Linked DNA regions of Tribolium castaneum. The protein of the gene in region 1 purifies or fractionates together with the protein of each later gene. This does not show direct contact. Links are inferred from orthologs where the notes say so. Each region holds a gene or a part of one and is shown in the gene's direction. Other genes may lie near its edges. The genes, in order: Not10 and Not1.

The links.
Region 2: the proteins of Not10 (region 1) and Not1 purify together in Homo sapiens (affinity purification with mass spectrometry; 4 studies listed by BioGRID and IntAct, with this or other methods). This does not show direct contact. The link is inferred for Tribolium castaneum from reciprocal best matches to the Homo sapiens genes CNOT10 and CNOT1.

Annotation. Positions count from the first base shown.
Region 1 is NC_087396.1:15,622,333-15,626,761, forward strand, and holds the start of Not10 (CCR4-NOT transcription complex subunit 10), read left to right. Parts: upstream 1-1,327; 5' UTR 1,328-1,474; exon of another isoform or gene 1,475-1,530; 5' UTR 1,531-1,585; coding exon 1,586-1,677; intron 1,678-1,726; coding exon 1,727-1,883; intron 1,884-1,938; coding exon 1,939-2,080; intron 2,081-2,129; coding exon 2,130-2,538; intron 2,539-2,587; coding exon 2,588-2,933; intron 2,934-4,429. Other genes in the region: Rchy1 (RING finger and CHY zinc finger domain-containing protein 1), read right to left, coding at 21-299, 412-567, 616-777, 880-978. UniProt on the Homo sapiens protein: Component of the CCR4-NOT complex which is one of the major cellular mRNA deadenylases and is linked to various cellular processes including bulk mRNA degradation, miRNA-mediated repression, translational repression during translational initiation and general transcription regulation.
Region 2 is NC_087394.1:30,458,340-30,462,928, reverse strand, and holds the start of Not1 (CCR4-NOT transcription complex subunit 1), read left to right. Parts: upstream 1-1,582; 5' UTR 1,583-1,897; coding exon 1,898-1,999; exon of another isoform or gene 2,000-2,064; intron 2,065-2,246; coding exon 2,247-4,589. Other genes in the region: putative leucine-rich repeat-containing protein DDB_G0290503, read left to right, coding at 1-511, 558-940, 988-1,110, 1,168-1,239.

The DNA of each region.
Region 1 (4,429 bases):
ATACAATTTTACCATATCACCTTATGACAATCCTTGCATAAAATTTGCACTAAATAACAGTTATACTGTGGCGGCATTGGCGTATGAGCAACTTCATTATCAAGATACTTCCACAACTGGGTCATATCCATAAGGGACGTCTGACATATGGGACAAGCATAATGTCCCGCTTTGAGTAATTGGTTGAAACAAGTGCGGTGTAACAAATGGCCACACATTGGAATATGGCATGGAATTCTGGAAGTATGGATGTCCTCAAGACAGACAGGACAATTGGCGCGCGATACGTTCTCCACACACTGCAAAAACAAGTTCGGATGTCTTACACGGCTGAAATCTAGTCTACACACGCATGCGCAGCGTTTAATTTTGGAATGGTGTTTACATGAGTTTGATATTTTTCACCCTTACTTTATGCCCGTTTTTGAGCTGGATTGGCAGGCACATGTTGCATTTCTCGCAATGGAAAAATTTGTCCGAGCCCCCAATCCTGCAAATGCCACAGCCAGAGCAATGGAACTGGTTCTTGTCTTCATCGTCGAAAAGATTGCACTCCAAGCAAGTGTACTGAAACAGGCGCTTAAATTGCATCAGAATCATTTCCCACGGACTTACTTTGCCAAATCTGATGCCACAGTTCTGACACTCTGCTTGAACAGGCTGCCTTTTCTCGCATATCGTGCAGATTAACTCCGTGACTTCTTTCCTGTTCACTGAGTGATCCTCCTTTTCGTCGTGACAGAACCGACAAGTGTACACTTTCTTGCAGCACGGAGTCTTGAAAAGAAAACACGACGTGATTGAGTCAATAATTGGCGCTAATTCAATTAAACTCAATAAACAACATTGGCCGGACGGTCTGTTCTAGCAAAAACTCACCACGAATTTGGATTTTCTTTTGTAATGGGAGCAGCCAATTGGCTTAATTGCCTCTTCGGGTGGCCCCTCAGCGACCGGAGTAGCTGCCCCTTCCATCATCCGCCGGGATTTGATTAAACGCCGCCGTATGACTGTGCAATTCGAGAAAATCTGTTTCTGGCACTAATTTTAGAAATACGACAGCATACGGAATAAATTAGAGGCGATCTTGAACTAAATAAATAAACGGGTAGGCAACACGGATTGCCTCCCAAATGTCAATTTCATTCAGGGAGAAAAAAACACTAGAATTGTTACTAGCAAATCACATTCGGTTGGCCAACTTGTATGAATTTTTACAGGATTTTTTCAAATTTCTTGCAAAGTTTACACTCATTGATGATCAAATAATTCAGACGACATTTAAAGCCGAAAAACGATCAAATTTTTTCTGTGGTATTTTCGTGTATTCAAAATTTAAATCTTGGACTTCACGAGTCGCCACTGACCTGTCAAAAAATTTTTTTTCGAAAATTTTTTGGAACTAAAGATTTGAATTATTTCACAGAAATATAACAACGAACTTAAACTTCCATTAACGTAAATTTTACGATCCGTAGGTTTTTTACAGTAGTGAAAGTCGGGTTTATTGTTACATAACCTCACTTATAGAAAGCTTGTGAATAAAAAAGTAGTGCCTGTGTTTGCAAAAAATCCAATAAATACAATGGCTGAGAAAGAAGAGTTTGAACGAGCTGTGGACGTTGTAACAGAGCAGGAGCAGGAATATGCACAAAAGGCTTTGAATGAGTTTAAAAAGTATGTTTAAGGCTTCCAAAAAAAACGAAAACTATTGACCCTTTTGTAGAAATAATTACGCCGGTGCGCTCCAATTTATCAATAAACTGGACAATAGAACTAACGATTTTAAAGTGGCCCACAATAAAGCTCTTGTGGAATATTGCAAAAGCGATTTTAGGAAGAACGAAACATTTCAAAAGAATTTAACCTCAATTTGCAATCAAGTATTACAGTCGTCCTCCTGGTGGGAATCTTTTAATAAGGCTCATTAACTTTTAGTTTAAGATTCGTCTCGATAAATTAGATGATGTGGACCAATGCATTGTTCATTATAATCAGGCCATTCTGTTATATCATCAACAACAGTACACTAATGCAATTTACATAATGGATCGAGTGTACAAATTTATTGAACCAATGGGTACAATTTTTCCAACGTGACTGTTTGTTTTTAATTTACTTTGTTACAGATGACGCATTAGCCAAACAAGTTAGTCTTTTTGCCATTGAGTTACAGCTATGTGTGCGTCAGTCTGATAAAGCGCTCAGTTTAATAAATTATCTGGAAAATCAATTAATCAACGGGACGCCAAACATCAAATTGTTGGACAAAACCGTTAAAGAGAAAGACAAGAAAGCGCCACAGCCCCTAGACCCAGCAATGGAAGAGTTTAAGAAAAAACTAATTAAATACAAAATCCGTTGTTACCTAATGAACCACAATCTCGAAATCGCAAACAAAGAAATCAGCAATTTGCTAAAAGACAAACAGAATTTCCAAGCCTTGTTCCTGGCAGCTAATTTAGAATACCTCAAAGGAAACTTGATAGAGTCCCAGAAACTTCTTGCGGCTGTACCACCCGATTATCTGGTCTACAAGTAAAATTCTATATTTTTTTAATATTTTTTTGCATTTGAATTTATTTAGCGACAGCGGCGAATCTTCAACTTTGATGTTTTACAACAATATGGGTGTGATTCATCACGCAATGGGCAAACCCAACTTGGCTTGCCACTACTTTCAGTTAGCCCTCAAGGAGGATATAGCTTTAACAAACAATGCAAAAAAAGACAAAGGCATGGATGACAAACCCTTGTATGCACTGGGTGGCTCAAAATACCACGAATTGATGTATAATTTGGGAGTTTCTCTTCTTCATGCCAAGAGGCCGGTTCAGGCGTTTGATTGCTTGATAATTGCAGTGCGGAGGTACCACAGAAACGCGAGGTTGTGGATGCGCTTAGCTGAGTGTTGTATTATGGCCACTAAAGAGGTAAGGGAATGAAAATTTTTTTTTAGTTTTATGTCTGGTTTCGGAGAATTTGTACGAAATTTCTGATCAAAGTGACCTATGATTAAGTTGGCAACAATAACTATATCGAGAAAGGTGAAAATAATGTATGTTACGTCGACCACAGTTATCGTCTTAATTTTTCTGACTGTTTAACGAGATCTCACAAAAGTCTAAGACGTTGGTTTAAAAGGTCTAAAGACTTGAAGAACGTAAAACAATATTTCGTTAAGCTTTGTTTTATTTTTGAAGAATTTTTGATTGAATGCGAACTAGACTAAATACACAAAAGAAAAATTGCATCTTTTTTTTATACAATAAATCAGTAGGTACCTTCGGGATAAGATATTGGATTAAAAAAAAATGCGAAACATGTTTTTTACTCTGTTTTTTCAAGTTGCAACTACCAAAAGATTCTCTAAATAATTATGAATAATTAATCTTTACATAAATAATAATTGACCAAATAAAATAAGAACAATTAAATTATTTTCATCCCAACTCTCTGACTTGTTGAGTAATTTTTAATAACAGAGTTGTGCGATATTATTGAGTTTTTTCATGAAAAACCTAAACGCAAAAGTGACACTATTCGGCGACTTTTATGCTTATTTTTCACAAACTTTAGCGAAATAATAATTGCGTTTCTACAAAAAAATGTGCAAACAAAGAACTATATTGACAAAATGATGTCATTTTCAGGACGGTTTTATAAAAAACGTCCAATTTTCAGTCCAATTTAGCGAAATGTAATTGATTAATTTAACTGCTCTTACATTTAAAAACTACTTACATGTTTACATGCCGCTTGTCCCCCTTTCGCATTTTAAATTACCTAAGACATTTTCTACAGAGTTTCGTTTTATTTGTTGGATTTTTTAGAATCATTTTCGAAATGTCATACGTCAAATTGAAAAGAGCGCGCGCATGCGCAATGATTTTCAACGAGGATCCCTTTCTTGACTAAAATAAAAGACTTTTCATCTAATATGCATTTGATATTCGTTATTTATTTCCTATCAGTGTCTCAGTTTTGCTTGTTTTTATCTAGCAGATTCTTCAATATTGCACAGAGGGGTAGAATGAATAGAAAAAGTGAGAATGTGCGACAAAGACAGACCCATTATTTTATGAATTAACGTAAAATTAGGCACGTAATTGTAAAATTTGTAAGCATTTTGATTGGGCCGTTTGAGGTCGGCCATCATGGTATTACCGAAAACCAATCACCTTAGATTTTTTGATTCATTCAAAAATTTACTTTTTGAATATCATTGGTCCACTTAAGGTCGGCCATTATAAAAAGTGAACAAGCCAATCACGTTAAATTTTGAGATTGATTCATTTTTTATTGCGAATGGTTAGTTTAATAAATATGAAAGCAGTCAATAAACAACAATAAAAAATGTGCATTTAATCAGGTCTTGCAAATTACAACGGAATCGGTCGAAATTGTACCTTTTCCAGTTGACCAACAT
Region 2 (4,589 bases), on another chromosome or scaffold:
AAACAAATCCGAGAAAAACTGGAACTTTGGGACAACATGTTGAGCGATTTTATTGAGAGTTTCACACACGGTGTGAAAAATTCCGAATTGAAAGACACTGTTGATGACCTTACAAACGCCAAAACTATGTTAGAGGGTGAAAAATTTGCCCTAGACTATGAGCTGAGGCGCTGCACTAATGAAATTGCCGAAATGAAAAAGGAAATTGCTGCTTTGACTGAAAACAGGAACAATTTGTTGAAAGAATCGGTAGATAATGGGCACACTATTCAAAAATTGAAAGACGAAATTCTCAATTATAAAAAATGTATTAAAGTGATGGAACAAAATAAATTAGAGATTGAAAAACAACTGGAAAACACTCAGAAGCAGCTGAATGATGCAAAACAGGAGACCATAGACTTGCAAAAGACAGTCAATGGAGTAAATGAAGATGTGGTGCGGAAAAAGTTATTCAAAGAGTTGTCAGACGTTGAAAGTGGTTTGGAACAAGATAAAAGAAACAGCGATAGTAGGTTTGTGTTTTAAATTTACTACTCCTATCCCTGAACTTGTAGTTGTGACCAGCGACGTGTTTCAAAAATGTTTGCAAGCACAGCTCTTGAAAACCGAATTGTTGTTGCGTGATCGGTTGCAAGAAGAAAATTCAAAGAAAATGGAAAAAATCGAAGAGGAATACAAGAAAGTCATTCAACAGCGGTCCGATTTGTATCACAAGGAGAAGGAAAAGTGGAAGATTCAGGAAGCAAATTATCGCAAACAGTTTGCTGCAGTTTTGGAGGAATGTGGGCGTAAGATGGAAACTTTAGAAAAGGAAAACATTGAGTTAGCCAAGCGCTTGCACATCCTCATCCAGGAGTGCAAAACGTATAAAAGTAGCAACATCGCGGTTCTGGACAAGTATAACAAACTGGCCACGAACCATAAAAAAGCTTTTGAGGTACCGATTTTTTCTTCAAGTAAGAGCAATTCATCGTTTTATTACAGGATTTAAACAAGCGATGGGCGTCCCTTTTGGAAGCGTATATGTATAATGCAACAAAAATTGAAAAGCAGACCAACAAGAACGTGAAAAATGTCCTGAAAAAAATGGTTTTAAATGACCGAGAGGTAATAACATGCTACGTGTAACGCATTTCTTGTTTATTTAATCAATCTCTATTCCAGATTCAATTAATAGAAAATATTTATAAGGAAAAGATGAAGAAAATAGTTGCTGAGAGGCATAGCAAATCCTGAAAGCTTCATCTTCATTTTCAATATTCTACATGTTTTAATTACAATTTGTATTTTGAACAGTTAAGAAATAAAGAAATATATCTTTGCCAGTTCGTTTTATTTTTATCTGTCCTTTATTCACACTGAGTGATAAGATAACATGCGATAAGTAAATGGAGATAACGTTTTTATTTTGAATTCGGGTGAAAAGAGCGGGTAGAACTTACCGTTCATGACGTGAGGTGCCGCTGCAGTTTCAAATTCGGATCATTAGTTTTCTTCGGCTTTCGAAGCACATGTGAAAAGTTGACGTTTTCCTGCCATTTTCGTGCGTGTTCCGGGTGGTGTAGTTTTTTTTTGCGCGTCTTTTCTGGAAAAATAATCAAAATACACGTAACTATAACCACACATCCCCTCAGGATAGTGAGCTCGTTGTTGGTCATGCGTAGTTTCATACATATGTTTTATTCGATGCATGTGTTGTGTGTTGCGTGAGTCAAAAGATGATTCTGGTAAATTAAAGTGGTGAAAAGTACATTAAAGATTCGATGATGGTCTTGGACCATTTAAAATTTAGTTGTTTTTCAAAAATACATAAGACTTTGTGGATAAAAGCCCCGTGCATACCTAAGAAAGCTTCAAAAGTATTTGAAGCTTTCGAGGCCGTGTTCATGGAACTATGAACCTAGACTCGTTGTCTTTTACCTTGTCACAAATAAGTTATTTAGTTGCATCATTAACCAAAAAGAACTACAAGCAAGTCGTTGCCGAACTCTCAAAGGTAAGAGTAGCGGAAAATTTGAACCGTTGCAAATGCGTGGACTAAAATTATCAGATTGACAAATCGGCCATCTTTTCCATGCCAGCTGTCACGCACAGTTACCGATCGAGCAATGTTGTGGTGAACAAAGGTGTTTTGATTGTTATTATTTTTTTCGTTCACGTTCTTGCAAAATGTCATTCAGATTATCAGAGTGCTTCTTATCACTTAAACAGCTTTTAAATTTGATCAAACGTTCGTTTTATAGTTGGTAACTTTGCATGGTCTGGAGGCGGACCGTCACTTGCTCCAATGTCTATTTTCATCAGTGGACTTTTCTGAATCTACAAGCAAAATAACCGCTCCATCTCCCCAAAATCAAGCATTGTTAGAGCAGTGTTCGAACTTGTTGAACAAACCCTCGCTGCTGACGTCTGTTTGCTACATCACAGACAATCCATTGAGCACCAACAAGGTAACAAAACCGCTTCGGTGGGTCACTTTTTCTGCAGCGGTTCCGTTACAGGCTTTCAAATTCGGACCCCAGTTCTTCCAGCAGTTGAGCAAGTGCCTTCGCCTCTCAGCTGTCCAGGAAGTCGTTTTCGCTCTCGCCCTTCGCCACTCTTCAAACCAGGAAGTTTCGTCTTTAGCCCAGGCACATTTACGGTTAACGGTTCCGACTCTCATCCAGTCGTATATCGAGACTGAAGGCAGCACCCGCCAGCACGAAGGGGGCCTCCACGAGACCACCCCCGAGGTCCTCCACTTGATCCTCTCCGCTGTTCTGAAAGCCCCCAAAGACGTTGGGCTCACCAACAACGCGCACCGGGCGTTTCTCGACACTCTCCAGCGCGACTTCCCCAAAGACCTCGTTCCCGTAGTGTTAGCACCGTTAGTTTACCCCGAACATTGTGAATTGTCGCCGGAAATGTCATCCGAAGGCCCCGGTTTATCCGGGGGCATGTTAGAGACTTCGCTGGCCGATCTGGTGGCTGAGATCGGTTTCGGTTTTACTTCGTCGGTGGAAGAATGTCGGAACAACTTGATGAAGCTTGGGGGACGCGACATCACCCCTGCAACAGTCGCTCGGATCCTTACCGTTATGTGCCGAACACACAGTGGCCTTGAAGATTCACTCAGTCTACAATCGCCAGGCAGTTTTAATAAGGGCAATGAGGGGCGCACTTGGAACGTGGAGGTTTTCGTCCAGGCGTTGAAAGAGGTCGTGCCGAACTTTCAATGGGCCAACACTGTGGCCGAGTTGGACCATCCCGAATTTATTATTAAAGATAGACAAGGACTCATTATTCTAATAAGTGCACTTCGACATGGCCTCCAGACGCTGGGATTCCACCCGGAAACTTTTCCAATTGACCAATTTTATAAGAGATGGACGAACGTCGAGGGGCAGTTCAGTCTCGTTCAACATGTTCTCAAAAATCCAGATGTGTTCTGTTTTGCTGACTATCCCGCGATGACCGTCAGTGTTGACGTTCTCAAAACACCACCGGAACAAGACAGCAAGGAACTGGCCAATTGGAGATCGTTAAATCTGGTCGAGTTGCTCCTGCACATGTCTGAATGTGGCTTGTTCACTTACGTTCAAGAACTGTTCAAATATCCAATGCACAACTGTCCTGATGTCTTAGTCCTCGCATTGTTACAAATACAAGGGCCTGTAACGCTCCTCAGACAAGAATTACTCTCCAACTTGATCCCAATCTTTCTCCTGAATCACCCAAACTCTGCCATAATACTACACCATGCCTGGCACACCACCAACATCAATATCAAATCCATAATAATGCATGCCATGGCCGAATGGTATGTGCGAAGCGACTGCGATCAAACGAGACTGTCCCGAATTCTGGACGTTGCCCAAGACCTGAAAGCCCTCTCAATGCTCCTAAACGCCCAAAACCAACAATCTTATCCGTTCATCATCGACTTGGCTTGTCTTGCATCCAGACGTGAGTACCTCAAGCTGGAAAAGTGGCTCTCGGATAAAATCAGAGAACACGGCGAGCCTTTTGTCCAAGCTTGCGTCAAGTTTTTGCACCGCCGTTGCCCGCAAATCCTGGGCAAAAGTGACGACGCTATGACCAAAGCTTCGTCCCTACCCAACGAAACTTTGACCACGATTATGATTTGTTTGCAATCTTGCATGAACAGCGTCAGTCCCGAGTGCCAAGAGGCGATAATCAACGTCACCACCGGTTGCAGTATTTTACTGAAATCGCGTCAACAGCCGGCTCTTGTTAGGTCCAGGGGCGTTGAAGGCCCGTTCAGTGTTTCGGCAATGTCGGGACAGCTTTACAACCACTCTGCTGTCGATACTATTCCCGGTTTGACCACGAATTTGGCCAGCATGACAATGTCGGGGCCCACTAGTTCGGCGTTTAATTTGCAAGGGGGACTCGGGCCGCTAGTGCAGTCTCCCGGGTCTCCTTCGCGGATTTTGGGTGCTGGTCCTTCAAACAGTCCGTTTCCGATGATGCCGTTGCAACATCAGGGACCAGTAGGGACCAGTTCGTCGCTGGTTTTGGGAGTTAATCAAATCGGGAATATTGGAAGGATGGGCCCGGCTTCGAATATTGATAAAAGCAGGATT